Rattus norvegicus: one gene and its partners. The protein of the gene in region 2 purifies or fractionates together with the protein of the main gene of each other region. This does not show direct contact. Links are inferred from orthologs where the notes say so. Each region holds a gene or a part of one and is shown on either strand. Other genes may lie near its edges. The genes, in order: Pagr1, Paxip1 and Ncoa6.

What was found.
Region 1: the proteins of Paxip1 (region 2) and Pagr1 purify together in Homo sapiens (affinity purification with mass spectrometry; 6 studies listed by BioGRID and IntAct, with this or other methods). This does not show direct contact. The link is inferred for Rattus norvegicus from reciprocal best matches to the Homo sapiens genes PAXIP1 and PAGR1.
Region 3: the proteins of Paxip1 (region 2) and Ncoa6 purify together in Homo sapiens (co-immunoprecipitation; 6 studies listed by BioGRID and IntAct, with this or other methods). This does not show direct contact. The link is inferred for Rattus norvegicus from reciprocal best matches to the Homo sapiens genes PAXIP1 and NCOA6.

The regions. Positions count from the first base shown.
Region 1 is NC_086019.1:191,052,059-191,057,877, reverse strand, and holds Pagr1 (PAXIP1-associated glutamate-rich protein 1), read left to right. Parts: upstream 1-2,377; 5' UTR 2,378-2,741; coding exon 2,742-3,220; intron 3,221-3,380; coding exon 3,381-3,463; intron 3,464-4,190; coding exon 4,191-4,390; 3' UTR 4,391-4,650; downstream 4,651-5,819. Other genes in the region: Prrt2 (proline-rich transmembrane protein 2), read left to right, coding at 1-275, 635-767, 918-928. UniProt on the Homo sapiens protein: Its association with the histone methyltransferase MLL2/MLL3 complex is suggesting a role in epigenetic transcriptional activation. However, in association with PAXIP1/PTIP is proposed to function at least in part independently of the MLL2/MLL3 complex.
Region 2 is NC_086022.1:8,282,408-8,287,560, reverse strand, and holds part of Paxip1 (PAX-interacting protein 1), read right to left. Parts: intron 3,647-5,153; coding exon 2,914-3,646; intron 2,559-2,913; coding exon 2,464-2,558; intron 1-2,463.
Region 3 is NC_086021.1:164,380,808-164,385,960, forward strand, and holds part of Ncoa6 (nuclear receptor coactivator 6), read right to left. Parts: intron 3,114-5,153; coding exon 2,991-3,113; intron 1,398-2,990; coding exon 1,269-1,397; intron 343-1,268; coding exon 1-342. UniProt on the Homo sapiens protein: Nuclear receptor coactivator that directly binds nuclear receptors and stimulates the transcriptional activities in a hormone-dependent fashion. Coactivates expression in an agonist- and AF2-dependent manner.

The DNA of each region.
Region 1 (5,819 bases), on a different chromosome or scaffold from region 2:
CACCACCCTCAACTAAAACACCCCCAGCCAATGGTGCACCCCCCCGTGTGCTGCAGAAGCTGGTTGAGGAAGACAGAATAGGAAGGGCTCATGGTGGGCATCCAGGATCTCCTCGAGGTAGCCTAAGCCGTCATCCCAGCTCCCAGCTGGCAGGTCCTGGGGTGGAAGGGGGTGAAGGCACCCAGAAACCTCGGGACTATATCATCCTTGCCATCCTGTCCTGCTTCTGCCCCATGTGGCCTGTCAACATTGTGGCCTTCGCTTATGCCGTCATGGTGAGCTCCAAGGGACCCCGGCCCAAGTGTACTATGGCTCCCAGCTTCCTGCCAGTGTCAGCCCAGAGCCCCAGTAACGACACCTTCCCTCACCTCTCTGCATGGATCCCACTTTTCCAATTGCCAGGCCTTTGCTTGCCTCTCACCTAACCCTCCAAGGCACTACTGCCCTTCAAGTGGGAGGGAAACAGATGTTTCATATAATCTTGCTGACCTGTACCCATTTCCTCCTGCATCCCCAATTCTCCTTCCTTAATCCAATGGGGCTGTCTTCCCTCTGGACTCTCACCTGATCCCTGCTGGGCTGGCTCCTGCTGACCTGGGCCATGATACCTCCAAACCCCTCACCCTCACCCCAGTCCCGGAACAGCCTGCAACAGGGGGACGTGGATGGGGCTCAACGTCTGGGTCGAGTAGCCAAGCTCTTAAGCATCGTGGCGCTGGTTGGGGGGGTCCTCATCATCATCGCCTCCTGCGTCATCAACTTAGGCGGTGAGTGGGGGTCGGGGACAGGAAGGGGAGGTGTGGAGGGTTGACAAGGGCAGCTTTACTAACCCCTGACCCTGCTCTCTCCTGTCTGTCCTCCCTATTCCTTTGTCTCTTCCTTCCTCCCTGTCTGTCTTTCCCTCTCCTCTCCCACAGTGTATAAGTGAGGGGCTCTGCCCTGCATTCCAAGACTTTTCTTCCTGTTGGGAGCTGTCTTGGGTCCATCCCAATCCTGGGAGAATCCCAGTCCATGGCCCTGGCCCCCACCCCTAGGGACTGAGGGAGCCTGAGCGGGCCTTGTTTACAGCTTCTTCCCTACTCCTGCATCCTGCCAGGCTCCTCTGCCAGCCGTAGGCTTCCTTTCTCCCTGCACTTTTGCCTGCAGATCTCCCCTCCTGCCTCTTGACCCCCCTAGTCCTGCACTCTGAAAACCCCTCTGCACTTCTGGACGCCTCCCTGAACATCTAAATTGTACTCTGCACCTCCGCATCCCTCCCAGCCTCCTTGCACTTCTCCCTGCCCCTGGAATCCTCTGAACCTTAATTAACCCTGACCTCCCAACTTTCATTGTCTTGGTATCTAACCCATCCCTTTCTTCCCTTCCCTAACATTCTTTCCCCTTGCCACATCCCCTGACCCCTTCTCATCTTTCCCTTAGCGTCTTCACCCTCCTGCCAACACTTAGTCTGCAAAACCTGCAGTACTTAGGTCAGGCTGAGGGAAGAAGGATGGTGTGGGGAGAGGTCTGCCTAGCTAGGGGCTCTGACTGTTCTCTACTGGGGACCACCCAGGCCCAGATCATACCCCCACCCTAACCCCTAAGGTGCCTATTGGGTCGCAAAGCTGGCAAGCCAGACCTCACCTGGGGTACTTGCACAAGAGTGGGAGTCCTGGTTCTGAACATTCAGGGGAGGAAGGGGTATAGCTGTGGCTGAAGAGTCAGCCTAAATTGACCTGCCCATTTGGGCTTTTTAACCTCAAGAGTTTCTCGAAGGTCCATTTATGTGCTTTGTAAACAGTAGAATTTTAAAAAAAATTTAAAAAGGACCAAAGTTCTCAACTGCAGGGAGCAAGGGAAGGGCGCGAGCTCTGTAATATTCTCTAAGAGGACGAGGGAGGTTTGTTGCACGCGACAGCCCACTGAGGAGGCAGAGAGCCAGCTGCGATGCATTTCGGAGTTGGTCGGTGTTTTTTTTGTTTGTTTGTTTGTTTTCTTTCTTTAAAAAAAGTTGGGGGGAAAACTAAAATTCCTTTAAAAAAATAAAACTGAGTCTCCCTTTTTGTATGCTGAATGCTGCATGAGTCTTAAACACTAATAAACAGAGAATGCATGAGACTGGCCTCAGTTGGTCCCTGTGTTGGTTTGCAGAGTCAAGGTACTGCTTTCTGGCAGGCCCTAGTGAACGGAATACGCATGCGCTGCCGCAGTGGCCATCTTTAGTATGGGCCGAAGTTAGTGATGCCTGAGGGCCTCATTGCGCATGCGCAAGTGGTCTCTTTTTTTTTTTTTTTTTTTTTTCCCCTTCCAAGTAGTTTTGACTACCACGGAGCCTCCGCGCGCCATTTCTCTGCGCCTGCGTACTGCGATCCTGCGCAGCCAGGGAGGCGGGTTTTAGCTCCAGGTTTGTACCGCTGCTGAGTAGACGCGAACTAGGTTTGCCGGGTTTAAAAAAATGGCTTCCATCCAGGTGATGGAGAAGGCGATGTGAAAGCGAGAAAGCAGGCCCTTCCCTTTCCAGCTCCGAGCGTGTCTCCTGCCGGTCCCTGGGAACGGCAGAATTCTGGATCCGTGGGGTGGGGTCTGTCCTAGCAGGGACCTGAGCGCCCCCTCCTGGGGACCGTGCTCTGGCCGCAGTCAGTTGTTGGACTGCCTCGTTGGTGATTTCTTAGACCCCCACTTGATCTAAAGCCTTTTGGGTGAGGCACCCTGGTTTGGTACTCCAGAGTCTCCTATATTGCTGGGCTCTTCTCTAGTACTCTATGTCCCTTGCCCTGGGCCATGGAACCATTGCAGGCAGCACAGCGGCGCCTCTGTCTGAAGAAGGGGAAGTGACTTCCGGCCTCCAGGCTCTGGCGGTGGAGGACACTGGAGGTCCCTCTGTCTCGGCTAGTAAGGCCGAGGAAGAGGGGAAAGGCAGTCAGGAGGAGGCCGGGCGTGAGGCATCCAGGGCTGAGGAGGCACTAGAAGCTTCCAGCGCTGTGAGCGACGAGCGTGCCGAGGGAGAATCCGAAGACTGGTGCGTGCCCTGCAGCGACGAGGAGGTGGAGCTGCCGGCCAATGGGCAGTCCTGGATGCCCCCACCCTCCGAAATCCAGCGGCTCTATGAACTGCTGGCTACCCAAGGTACTCTGGAGCTTCAAGCGGAGATCCTACCCCGCCGGCCGCCTACTCCTGAGGCCCAGAGTGAAGAGGAGAGATCAGATGAGGAGCCAGAGGCCAAAGAGGAGGAGGAGGAAAAGTGAGGCCATGCTTTACACATTATTCACGGGACTTCTCTCTTGAACACTGAAACTGGAGGGAGGGGAGAGCAGGAAAGGGAGAGGCAGCGGGCTGGGGTATGCCAGCAGGTGTTTGGGAGAGCTTCTCTCACCCTTCGCTTTCTGTCCACCCTGTTTCAGGCCGCACATGCCTACAGAGTTTGACTTTGATGATGAGCCAGTGACACCCAAGGACTCACTGATTGACAGAAGACGTACACCAGGTAGGAATGAGAGGGAAGAATTGAGGGGAAGTAAAGGGCCTCTTTTAGTTACCTCAGAAGAGGGCTGGTCTGAGGCCTTGGCTGATTTCTGCCGTCATGCAAGATGGAGCATTCACACAGTGGCAGCCTATTTCTGACTTAGGTCAATGCTATACTTTTCTGTCAGAGACCCACAAACCTTCCCAAAAGTCCAAGATCTCCTGACATCCCAGCCCGTCGCCTTTCTAGAGTTTACTTTCAGAATCATTCTTGAGCTCTCTCCCAGCTGGTTAAGCCAACAGCAAGTTGCATTAATTAGCTCCACTTCTACAGTTCCACCTTCGATTTCTCTTGTTGACACTTTTCACAGTTCTAACTAGTATCCGCAGTCCTGGTCTTAGCAACCAGAGTAGTCCTTCTAAGTGAAGTCTTGTCTTTTCTCTGCTTGTACTCCTCCAGAGGATTCCATCACAGGGAAGAGCATGTCCAGTGCCTCTGCCCCAGTGCCCTGTACTCAGAATAAATCTGCCTCCTGCCCCAGGACCTTTGCACTTGATGGCTATGTTCCCCAGCCATTGCATTATGGGTATCTTAGCTTAATATCAGCCATCCTGTGTGTGGCCCAAACCTCAACATTTGCTTCTCTGTGCTCCCCAGGCCTAAAAAGTATGTATTTAACAAGATCTCTACGTGTAGGGGCTTGGGGATGCTCACTGGCTTAATGGTGTCACATTTCCTACCTTCTTAGGAAGCTCAGCCCGGAGCCAGAAACGGGAGGCGCGTCTGGATAAAGTCCTCTCAGACATGAAGCGACATAAGAAACTAGAGGAGCAGATCCTTCGGACCGGGAGAGACCTCTTCAGCTTAGACTCAGAAGGCCCCAGCCCTGCCAGCCCTCCACTCCGATCCTCAGGAAATAGTCTCTTTCCCAGGCAGCGAAAGTACTGACTGTTGCTGCTCTGGCCTACAGGTGCAGACTGTTTTGTGCTGAGCATGGCCGGCCTTTCCCATCCCAGGCTCTTGTAACAGAAAAAGCCTCAAGCTCCCAGCGCAGTGCCTTGCAGGAGAGTGTGTGTGTGTGTGTGTGTGTGTGCGTGTGCGTGTGTGTGTGTTGTTGTTGTTGTTGTTGTTGTTTAGTGTCTGTTTACAGTTTTGAGCTGGATATGCTGAATCTAATAAAAGATGCCTGATGATCTTTTCAGAGGAGAGACTGCCGCTCAACCCAAGCACATGTTCTTACTTGGGCAGAGGCAGAACTGTATCCCTCCACAGTGATATACTGAAGCCAGATGAGGCAGAGGTGCAGCCAGCCATCATCTAACACCTCCCCCTTACCCCAACCCCCCTGCCCCCCCCACCAGGTCCTCTGATTTCCTAGACTCATCCAACCCCACCAGTTAGCACTGAAGCAGAAATCGCCAGTCTGGGAGTATGAACCTAGCTGCTGTGTCTTCAGTGCATCCTGAAGGAGGAAAAGATCCAGTTGCAGGGCCCTTTAAATACCCAAGCTCCGCCCCTGCCGGCCCAGCCCTTTAGGGAAGTCCCGCTTGGTGAGGGAAATTCCTGACCTGTGGCTTGCAGCTGCCAGCTACCCTGCTAAATGTGAGTACAGATTGTGACCCTGGCGGGACCCCCCCAGACTCCAACCCAGGGGTCTGTTCCAAAGGCTCTCTCTAGTCTTCCTGCTTTTCAGAAATCTTTCTTGTGACTGAGACAAGAACACCTCAGTCACAAATTACAGGAAGGGAGGGCGTTGGTGGCTCTGCCTTGTGAGGTTTCACTTTCTATGAGTTTCAGGGTTTGAAAGCACCCTGTTAATGTCCTCAACCCCAAAACCTCAGGCCTCCCTGACATCAGGGTCTCCCCAACAGATTATAGGTGAGGGGGTACTTTTGTCAGGCCCAGTAGCACACATGTGCTACTCCCTGCTCCGTAGCAGAAGCGGAAAGATGCCTTGAGCCCAGGAGTCCTGAACCAACTCAGACACGTAGCAGGAGAGACCATCGTTTTCATTTCTCTTGTTTGGTTGGTTGACTTTAGGTTTTGTTTTGGTTGGGTGGTGGTGGTGGTTGTTGAGAAAGTGGTCTTGAACTCTCTGTAGCCCGGGATGACCTTGAACACCTGACCTTCTTGCCTCCATCTCCTGAGTGAATGCTGACATAGATTTCTGTCATCGCCATCAGTTTTATTCAGAGCTGGGGCTCACACCTAGGGTTTCATGTATTTGGGCAAGGACTCTGCCCTGATGGATGGAGTGTGGCACAGTGACATAGCACACCTATGTGTCCAGAGGTCCCTAGCACACTTTAAAAAGAAAAAAGAAACGGGGAACCTTACCCGACACAGTTCACACCTCTAATCCCAGCACTTGGGGCAC
Region 2 (5,153 bases):
TTCTTTTTTTCAGAGCTGGGGACCGAACCCAGGGCCTTGCGCTTGCTAGGCAAGTGCTCTACCACTGAGCTAAATTCCCAACCCCCTACGTGTGATCTCAATCCAGCCTGCTATGAACAGAAGGCAGATGTCACTCCGCACTCACACTCTCCCCCGCACTCTCGAGTACCACTGTGCCCATCAGCCATTTCACAGAAGCCAGCAGCTCCTGCCTTCACCTGCTTCCCACTGCCTGCGTTGTGTCCTGACAATAGGAATATATTTGTGAAGATATTCTAATTCACAAATGCTACTTCACTGCTTTCCAGTCTTAAACATTATCCACTGATGTTCCTGTGTGAAGGCCAAGGCAGCCAGGTGGCCAACAACTCCCACGGCGCCCTAAGACAGATGTTCTTCCTAGTGTGGGTTTTGTTTCCTGGTGCTGACCATGACCTCATCCCACCCTCCACATCTGCTGTCTTGAAAGTATCTCACTGAACCTCATTCCTAAACTCTCCACAGAAAGGTGTTTTAAAGTGTGTTTTCAAAACACATACTCTCAGGGCTTCCTCCACACCCTGCTCTTAGTCTTGTCACTCAAAGAAGAAGGGAAGGCGTCACTACCGTACCATGGCCACTTGCACAGCTGGAAGGCCCCAACTGTGTGAGGCCCTGGCTAGCCCAGGGCACAGCAAGCCCTCCCTCCCTCAAGCCCTTTTAGGAGAGTTACCCAGGAGGGAAGTAGAGCTGTCCCTGGCTTCCTTAGCTGGAGGAAACAATCTCCACGCCTTCCTTGTCTGACCTGCCAACTCTGGTTCTGTTTCACCCAAGAACTTAGCTGCCATGTACCCCCTGCTGCATTAGTGGCTTCTAAGTAGAGGTCTCTGAGCTAGACACCTGTACTCATTCTCACTCAGCTCCCACATTCCTCTGCTGGGCAGGCCGCAGAGCACTCAGAAATCACCACCCTCAATCGAGCTACAAGCTGTGCTGAACCAGAGACCATGTCCTGGCCTTGATCACAGTCTCCCTACACCAAGCCCTCAATCGTTCCTGCTCCAGTACTGCTCTTCCCCTACTCAGTACGACAGTGTGTCCATCAGGGGAAGCTATTCTGGACAGCTCTGTTCCCTTCTCTGTCCCAACTCCATCACGTGGTGTTGCAGGGCTGGAGGCTTAGCACAGAGGTGGACCTCTTATTTCTTGAGAGGAAGAGAAGGCAAAAATCAGAGAAAGACCAAAAGGCAAGGCGGCTGCCCCTGTCATCCTTTGGAGGCTGCAAGCAGACTTTAGGAAGCCAACTGACTGGGAGTGCAAAAAACCTTGTGCGACACACAAGAGGCCCTGGGCCTAGTCCGCCACACCCCACAAACTGGCTGTGTAGCATGTTTTAACCAAGTGGCTGAAGGAAGTGTCCTATCTCTGGAGTTCAAGTTCTAGAGCCTCTGCCTCAAGCCAATGAAACCCCAAACTTCACTGTTTCATGACTTCGGATTCATGAAGCCTCTCAATGGCCCATTCCAAAGCTCCCAATTCTTCCCCACTTTTCTGCCCCTACAGCCCCAACACCCTCTAGCTCTCCAACCCTATCCACCCGGGGAGCCAAGTCTATGCCTTACCACACACCTCAGATCTAACTACTCCATTCACCCCTTTCCATACTGCTTGTTAGGAAAATCCAAATCCCTCTACTATTGTATCTAAAATGGTATTGGAAGACAGACAGCCTTTGTCTTTTGCTCTCCCTGACTCAACAACTGCCCAGGACAAGACTTGATGAAAGTCCCCATTAGTGCCGCAGGGGCACCTTTATCAGGCTGCTCTGGCTGGATCGTCCCCTCCTATCCTTGCTGTAAGTCCTCCTGTGAACACATAGATCACCTCTACCAGCTTAAACAAGCCCCGTCCAGTGCTGCTCTATGGACATCACCGCCCAGCTTGCTTCTGTGCTGTCGGCTTGCCCATCCTCTCCCAACTCAACATTGCTGTCTTGCTGTACGCTTGGCATCTGGCAGAGGCTTAAGCACCAGCAATGCTTATAGCAAACAACACTTCAGCTATGCTTCTATCCTAAACTTGGTTTTTATCTAAAAGGGGAGAGGGAAGGACTGCTCCGTTTTGATTTGTAGCATGATTGCAAGAAAGACTTTTTGAAGTTTTCTTTTTCATCCATAAAAAAGAACGAATTAAAAAGAAAAATATATGAACTACCATTTCACAATTATACCAGAAGACAGTTACATGTAACCATTACCCCTGAAGGAATTTTAAGAACCAGGAAGCCCAACACTCCATGTGGTACCTCAGTATCAGAAGTACAGAACATGATGGGCACCTCCCATGGAGGCAGCACTGATGAGGGCACCCGTCCCTGCCCACCAAAGTGCACACATGGACGCTGTTACATGAGGCCAGCCAAGCAGGCGGCCATCCAACCCAGTCAAGCACACAGCTCCTGGCCAGCCGGCTCCCCCAGCTCACCCTCTTCCAGGTGGCCAGCAGCTGCTTGTCCGACATCTGCTCGGGATAGTCCGCAATGGCAAACACACAGCCCAGCAAGAAGCTTTCTTCTGGAACTAGAGGAACAGACATGAACACAAATTAAAAGTGCATTTTGATGAGTTTAGTTTGAATCCATAATCTAACTACCTCTGGAATGTTGCTACAAATATACTGTCTAAAAACTAGATCATCAGAAACAAGACATAATTTAGGTCTAAGCACTCAATCTCAGCATTGCTCCTGAGGCATCCTTGATGCTCTGACCACTGCTCCTCACTGCAGTATGTGCAAATGTAAAGAACCCTAATTGTCTCACTGTAATGCCTGCTCGACAGGTATGAGACTCACACTCCACGTGCTAATTATCTGACAGGCCCCATGCTCCTATGCAAGCTTGTAACTTGTGGGAAAATAGGAACCAGTACTAACTCTCCACTGCTGGGTCATGTCCAAAAAGCTGCTGCTGCTGCTGCTGCTGCTGCTGCTGCTGCTGCTGCTGCTGCTGCTGCTGAGGTGGGGGCTGCAGGGGCAGCTGCAGGGGCTGCTGGGGTAGAACCTGGTGTTGTAGTGCCTGGGACGTTTGGCTCAAGTGTGCTGCTTGATTCTGCATCTGCTGCTGCTGGTGCAAGCGCTGGAGCTGCTGCTGCTGTTGCTGCTGGAGGAGGTTGTGCTGCTGCTGCTGCTGCTGCTGCTGCTGCTGCTGGAGCTGTGCTAACTGGTGCTGCTGGAGCTGTTGCTGCTGCAACTGATGGAGCTGCTGCTGCAGGGCATGCTGCTGCTGAAATGGCTGCAGTTGCTGTTGAGGGCGATGCAACTGCTGCTGAGGGTGTAATGGTTGCTGTGGAAACTGGAGCTGCTGCTGAGAGAACTGATGCTGATGGACTTGCTGTGGGAACTGATGTGATGGCGGCTGGGGGTAAGGCTGGGGCTGCTGCTGCTGCTGCTGCTGTTGCTGCTGGAGCTGCATGATCTGGGGCTGGAGGTGCAGGGCTGGGTGCTGCTGCTGAGGCTGCTGGGGAGGATGGTGCTGCTGCAACGTGTGTGTCTCAGGAGCACCTTTAGCCTGGCCAAAGAGCACAGCACTGGCACTGGGGTGTCCCTGCTGTACATGTGCCACCTGCTGCTCTAGGTTTTTTGTGGGTGCTGAAAGGGATTGTAAGATCTAGAAAACAAAAAGAGGGTCAAGTTGCTACTGATAATTGCTGAGAGGCACTACCCACTCCTAGGCGAGTAACAGTGCATTCATGCAGCTGATATGCCCAACGGCTACAAAATGGGGACCAGACAACAACATACTGCTCTCACACGTACACTTTGTATTCAACATCCAGAGAGCAGGACACTGAATTATAAAGGAGAAAATGGACTAACAAACACAGGAGATGCTCTGCAGCTGAAGTGTTTGCTACCTAAACCTAGCAACCTGAGTTCAAGTACTGAACCCACTGTAGAAAAGACAAACCCAATCCCTCCCCCACCCTCTGCCCCGCCCACCACCACACACACACACACACACCCCACACTGGGGGCACTGATTCACAGAGCTGCTGCACCTTAAAGAACGGGGACAGGATGGCAAAACAAACAAGTGGCAGTATTTGGTGTTTTACAGGCCTGAGCAGCCTGGGCAATGTCCCCAGCAGCCCCCCTCTACTGGTAGCCTGGCCTGCTTCTGACTAGGGTGCTGTGGAGAGTGGCAGCTTTGGCTCAAGCCTCTCCATGGCAGAGCCATGTTCTACCCCTCCTGCTTCTAGGAGTTACCTCTACTCAGGCGGGGGATCCACTATTACCACCAAAACAACTCAGGCCGCAGCTATACCCAGCATAGCTCCTGTTCCTCCCACACTGCACCTTGCCCCCAGGCAGTGGATGTAACACAGAAAAGAGATGGAGGGACTCTAGCAAAAGGTGTTCTTAAAGGCAAATGTTAGCTGGGCTTGATGGTACAGACCTGTAATTCCAACACTTGCAAAATGGAGGAAAGACCATCAGGCATTCAAGGTCAGCCCTGGCTATACAGCGAGTTCAAGGCTAACCTGAGCTACACAAGATAGTATCCTCAAATTGAATTGTTAATATTGTTGTGGGGGGGGGGGGGAGGCTGGACAGTAGGCATGCCAGCCTGACAAACCAGAGCTCTGTCTCCAGAACCCACATAAGAGCCAGGCACAGGAGGAGCGCATGTACCTGAGATCTTAATGCACCTACAGGGAGAAGGAACCAGGACAGCCTCCGACTCGGAGATCCACCTACCTAAGACTAGAGAAATCAGGAAGCTCGTAGGTCACACAGACTAGCTACACAGCAGTGAACAAGAGAGACTCAGTCCCAAATAGGACCAGACACTTAACGTCTTGCTCTGACCTCCCCATGAGCACTAGCACAAGCACATCCACACACAAGGATAAACATGCTCCCTTTAGTAGCAGTATATTAAAACTGGAGTGAAACAGAAAATATCCTCAAGCTCACGCAGTCTCCAGCCTACACAAAGAACTACAGGCAACCAAGGACAGCTGAGAGCCATGGTTATCCCATACCAAACATGCACACATACAACAGCATACAGACTAAGCGGGTTCTCTTCATCTACTTAGGTGTACACACACAAAGATACGTAACAACAATGAATGGAAAAGAAGTCATGAATCTGAAAGACAGCAAGGAAG
Region 3 (5,153 bases), on a different chromosome or scaffold from region 2:
CCTGGGCTGGTGGAGGCTGTAAGGCTCCAGAAGGCAGCTGGTTCCAGCCTGGAGGAACAGGCACCTGAGTTGGAGCAGTAAACTGTGGTCGAATCCCCTGTGGCTGTTGCTGCTGATGTTGTTGTAAAGGTCTAGTCTGCAACTGTTGCTGCTGCTGCTGTTGCTGCTGCTGCTGCTGCTGCTGCTGTTGCTGCTGCTGTTGCTGCAGCTGGGGAAAATTAGCTGGGTTCATTTGTCTGTTCACAGGAACAGGTTGCATTGGGTGATGCGCTGGAGGTAAAGATCCTGAGGGATGACTCTGTTGCTGTATATGGAGTCCAGAGAGAAGTGGATCCATCGCATCTGTTTGGGGATAGTAACAATTAACCTACTGCAACCCAGATCTTAGCATGCTGGCTTGGATCTGCTGATCCCACTGATATTACCCACCCATGAGTATATTCTAAGAAACAACAGTTACAAAGAGGAATCCTGCCTTAAACACAGCTTATGGCTCATTAGTAAATCAAACATAAAATATAGATAACATTTTCAAAATTTTATTCTGAGCAATTATTGTTATAGGAAAACAAGATAAAACAGTCAACTAGGTTTGGGAAATGCTAGACAGACTTCAGACAAATTTCTTCTTTACTGTAGGAAGCTTAGTGATATAACATGTTAACTTAAAAAGCATGTAACAAATTCATATGACTTCAAAATTCTGTCATGGTGTATCTTACAGAACTAAGCATCCCAAGGTATATATGGTAGTTTGAATGGGGAGTCTGAACAGCTTCATAGGGAGTGGCACATAATTAGGAGGCATGACCTTGTTGAAAAAAGGGGGTGTCATGAAGGGTGGGCTTTGAGGTTTCAAGTACTGAAGCCAGGCCCAGTGTCAGTCTCTCTTCCTGTTGTCTGCTGATCCAGATCTAGAACTCTCAACTACTTCTCCAGTACCATGTTTGCCTGCATACCACCATGCTCTAAACCTCTGAACCTGTAAGCTAGCCCCAATTAAATGTTTTCCTTTATAAGAATTGCTGTAGTCATGGTGTCTGTTCATAACAATAGAAACTCTTAACTAGGACAGCATTGGGAACATTGGAAAATAGATGATAAAATAACAAGAAATTTGGAGAAGAAACATTGACATTTAGTTGTGAGACTTGATGGTAATTCTGGAACTGAGCAGTTAGTTAGGAATCCAGCCTCAGTGGCTGAATCTCAATGATATCTGTTAAGTAACGCCGGCTTCTTTAATTCCCAATGACGGAAGACACTACCTGACTGAGAAGCAGGGCGAGGAGTCCTGGGTTGCAGTTCTGGATTGGGGCCTGGTGCCATCATGGAAGATGATGCGTTCCCGCCCTGGGGCATCATAACAGTGGCAGGGCTTGTCATTCTTATTAGTCCTAGAAGAGAGAACACCTGAGATCATATTCTGGAGTTGGCACACGTATGTGTGTGATGACCAGACTGTCTGAAAGTCACAGTAATTGCTTAAGGAAGGGCTGAGACTACATGTGCCAGCTACCACACTCAGTTTATAATTTTTATTTTAGTGACATACCTTAGAAACATTAAAAAATATATAAATTTTTCTTTTAAGAACTATTTTTAGATTTAAAAGTTTTTCTGTTTATATATGTTTTGCCTGCACGTATATGTGTGTACACCACTTACATATCTGGTATTTGTGAAGACCAGAAGAGGTATTGGATCTCCTAGAACTAGTTACAGATGGTTATGAGCCACTATGTGGGTGCTGGACACTGAATCCTGATTTTCCAAAAAAGCAGGCAATTCTCAACTGCTGAGCCATCTCTCCAACCCCTCTGCCTGTATTTTGAGACAGAGTTACATAGCCCAGGCTGGCCTGAAACTCATGGAAAAACTCCTGCCTCATCCTCTCAAATGCTGGGATTACAGGTGTGCAATCTAACTCCAGTTTTTTTTTTAATATTAAGAATTAATTTACATAGTGTAATATTTATCCTTTAAGAATATGTTTCTTTAAACTCTTCCCATATTAAAAATCACTTTTAGTTGTCCCTTTCTCAACAGAATTATTCACTTCTTTGAGTCAGGGTCTTGTGTAGCTTGGGCTGGCATCAAACTTACTATATAGTAGAAAACGACCTTGAACTCGGGATCCTCCTGCCTCCACTCCTCAACTGCTCAGATTATAAACATGGATCAATAGGCGGGGTTTTATGCAGTGTTTGAGACTGAACCCAGGCTTTGTACCTGCTGGGTAAACTTTGCCTCAGTGGAGCTCCTCCACCCCAGCTTAGTCGCTCTTTATAAAGAAACAGATGGTGCTGTTCTTTATAGTTTTTAATTCACTCACTTCTGTCCTCAATTTTTTTCTTTCGTTTGAGGTAAGATCTCATATGTAGCCTTGGCTGGCCTAGAACTTGCTATACAGACCTTACTGGCTTCAAGCTCATATCCACCTGCCTCTGCTTGAAGATGGAAAATGTTTTACTCATTTCTTTTTTTTTTTTAAACTATTTATTTATTTTTTTTAAGATTTATTTATTTATTATATTTAAGTACACTGTAGCTGTCTTCAGACACACCAGAAGAGGGCATCAGATCTCATTACAGATGGTTGTGAGCCACCATGTGGTTGCTGGGATTTGAACTCAGGACCTTTGGAAGAGCAGTCAGTGCTCTTAACCACTGAGCCATCTCTCCAGCCCATGTTTTACTCATTTCTATTTCCAATGTTTAGCATAGGTCTTATCATATACTCGGTACTTAATAAATGTTTACTCCATGACTCAGTGTTCACCAGACTTTCAGGCCAAAGACAATAAATCCATCACCTCAGGCTCTGTCACTGCTACCTCTCTGAGTAGTTCATTGTCATTGTCATTGTTCTAAGAAATAGAAGTGAGCACGCTCTATATCTCATCTACATGGCAAGACTCAGTACTGTAAGAAATCAAGCTCCCAAAAGGAAACTGGTAAAATTTACACAAAATGAGTAGGAGTCTCACCTGGACCACTTGCCATGGGAAATCCTGCCTCCATCCTAACGGAATTTCCAGATACCACGGGTCCATTCATTCTCACGTCTTGGCTTCGGTTCTGACCCAAAGCCAGGTTGATAGCACCTTCCCCTGAAAATGACAGTAAAATTACAAAATGAAAATAGTCAGAGTAAAATGCAGATTTAGTTTAAAGACAGTTACATAAAAATTACTTTTTTCTGATTTTGAAGAATTATGTTTACTACTATAAAAAAGGCTAGCTCAGTATTATAACCTAACCTAAGCCTTACTATATACAGTTCAGTCTAGCTCTGAACTCATGACTTTGAGCCTCGCCCTCCAGAACGCGGGAATTACAGGAAACTGAAGTCCTAGTCTATGCGGCATGTTCCAGCTTAACAAGCACAAGGCGACCGCAATCACTAACGAAGTTGCTTAGTGTCAGAGGGCTTCAAAGTCTCAACACTTATTTTCAAAACTGGCCCACAAACTGTGGGTAGGAGCAGGGGCAGGATGGGAACAAGTGGAGAATAGGAAGAGACTCGGAAACTCAAAATTCCCCACTCCCTTCTGGGAGTTTATAATTAGGAGATAAGAGGTATGTGGAAAGAAGTATGCAGGATAGTATGGACACTGTAATACTTAGGTGGAGAGACCCTGGAGGACTTGTGAGGAAATTACCATTTTCTTGCAATAACTACACTATAAAAAAGTTTTCAGGTATTGTGACTATAAGTCTGTGGCACAGTCCTTGCTTAGCATGCACAAAACACTAGGTTTGTCCCCAGTACTGCACAAACCTAGTGTGTTAGAACATGTTTGTGATCAAAGCGCCTCAGAGGTGGAGGAAAGATCAGAAGTTCAAGATTGTGCTCGGCCACACAGAACAAAAAGGTCCCTACAGCCTTGTAGTAGAGATGTCATGTAATGGCAAACAGAGAAGTCTCTCCTAATTACCTCTGTGACAAAAGGTAAGAACATTTCAGTGTTTCTAACGGGCCGTGCTGGGGACTGAATCCTTGTACATGGCAAGCACGTGCCATGCCAATGCACTGACTGCATCTCCTGTATTTGTTTTTAGGACTTATTTTAAGTGAGACTTTTGCCTCCAAGTATGTATATGTATCACATGCATATAATACACGAAGAAGTCAGAGAGAAAGTGTTGGAATTATGATGGTTGTGAGTGGGTGCCGGAAACCAAACCCAGGTCTGCAAGAGTAACAAGTATTCTTAAATCTGAGCCATCTCAAGATGGCTCATTTGAGCTTCAAATGTAGGTAGGATACTAGAATTGTTTCATTAAACAGTTTCTAAGGAAACTTAAAAGATTTATTTACTTTATGTATGTGAGTACACTGTAGCTGTCTTCAGACACACCAGAAGAGGGCATCAGATCTTATTACAGATGGTTGTGAGCCACCATGTGGTTGCTGGGATTTGAACTCAGGACCTCAGGAAGAGCAGTCAGTGCTCTTAACTGCTGAGCTGTCTCTCTAGTTATGAAAATTTAAATCTTACTTGGCCTAATGGAAAACAGTTGCTGAGCCAGGCAAGATAGCTCAGACCTTTAATCCCTGCACTCGGGAGGCAGAGCTGGTGGATCTCTGTGAGTTCAAGGCCATTCTGACCTATAGAGCAAATTCCAGGACAGCTGAGACTGTGGCACAGAGAAACCCTATCCCAAAAAACAGAACAAAACAAAACAAAAAAAAACAAAAAAACAAAAAAGAAAGGAATAAAAAAAAGAAGAAGAAGAAAAACAGCTGCCAAAATAAGTGCTTCTTGCCCTTAGTCCACAATTTTGACTGCTATAGTACCTTCCACAGAAGACACTTAACACCTTGGGGAGAGCTAAGATAGCTGTCCCATCACTTGGGAGTTGGAAGGATTATATGCCCCAACTCCGTTCATATCTTAGCATCTTGGTTTCCAGTTTGAAGGTAAAGCAGGAAGCTATAAAGGAGGTAGGTACCTTGCTCTGTCCTGTCATGGAGCTTCCTGTGTAAAGTTTACCCAGGGGATGGGCTGGCTGGTCATAGGGAACAACGTCCTACCAATAAAGGAGGATCATCAGAGCCTGTCAAATACTCTGACTCGCTTTTTAGGAACCAAGCGTGAAAGTCCAATAAAGTATGGGTTTTGGAGATTTTACCATTGGTAAAGAAC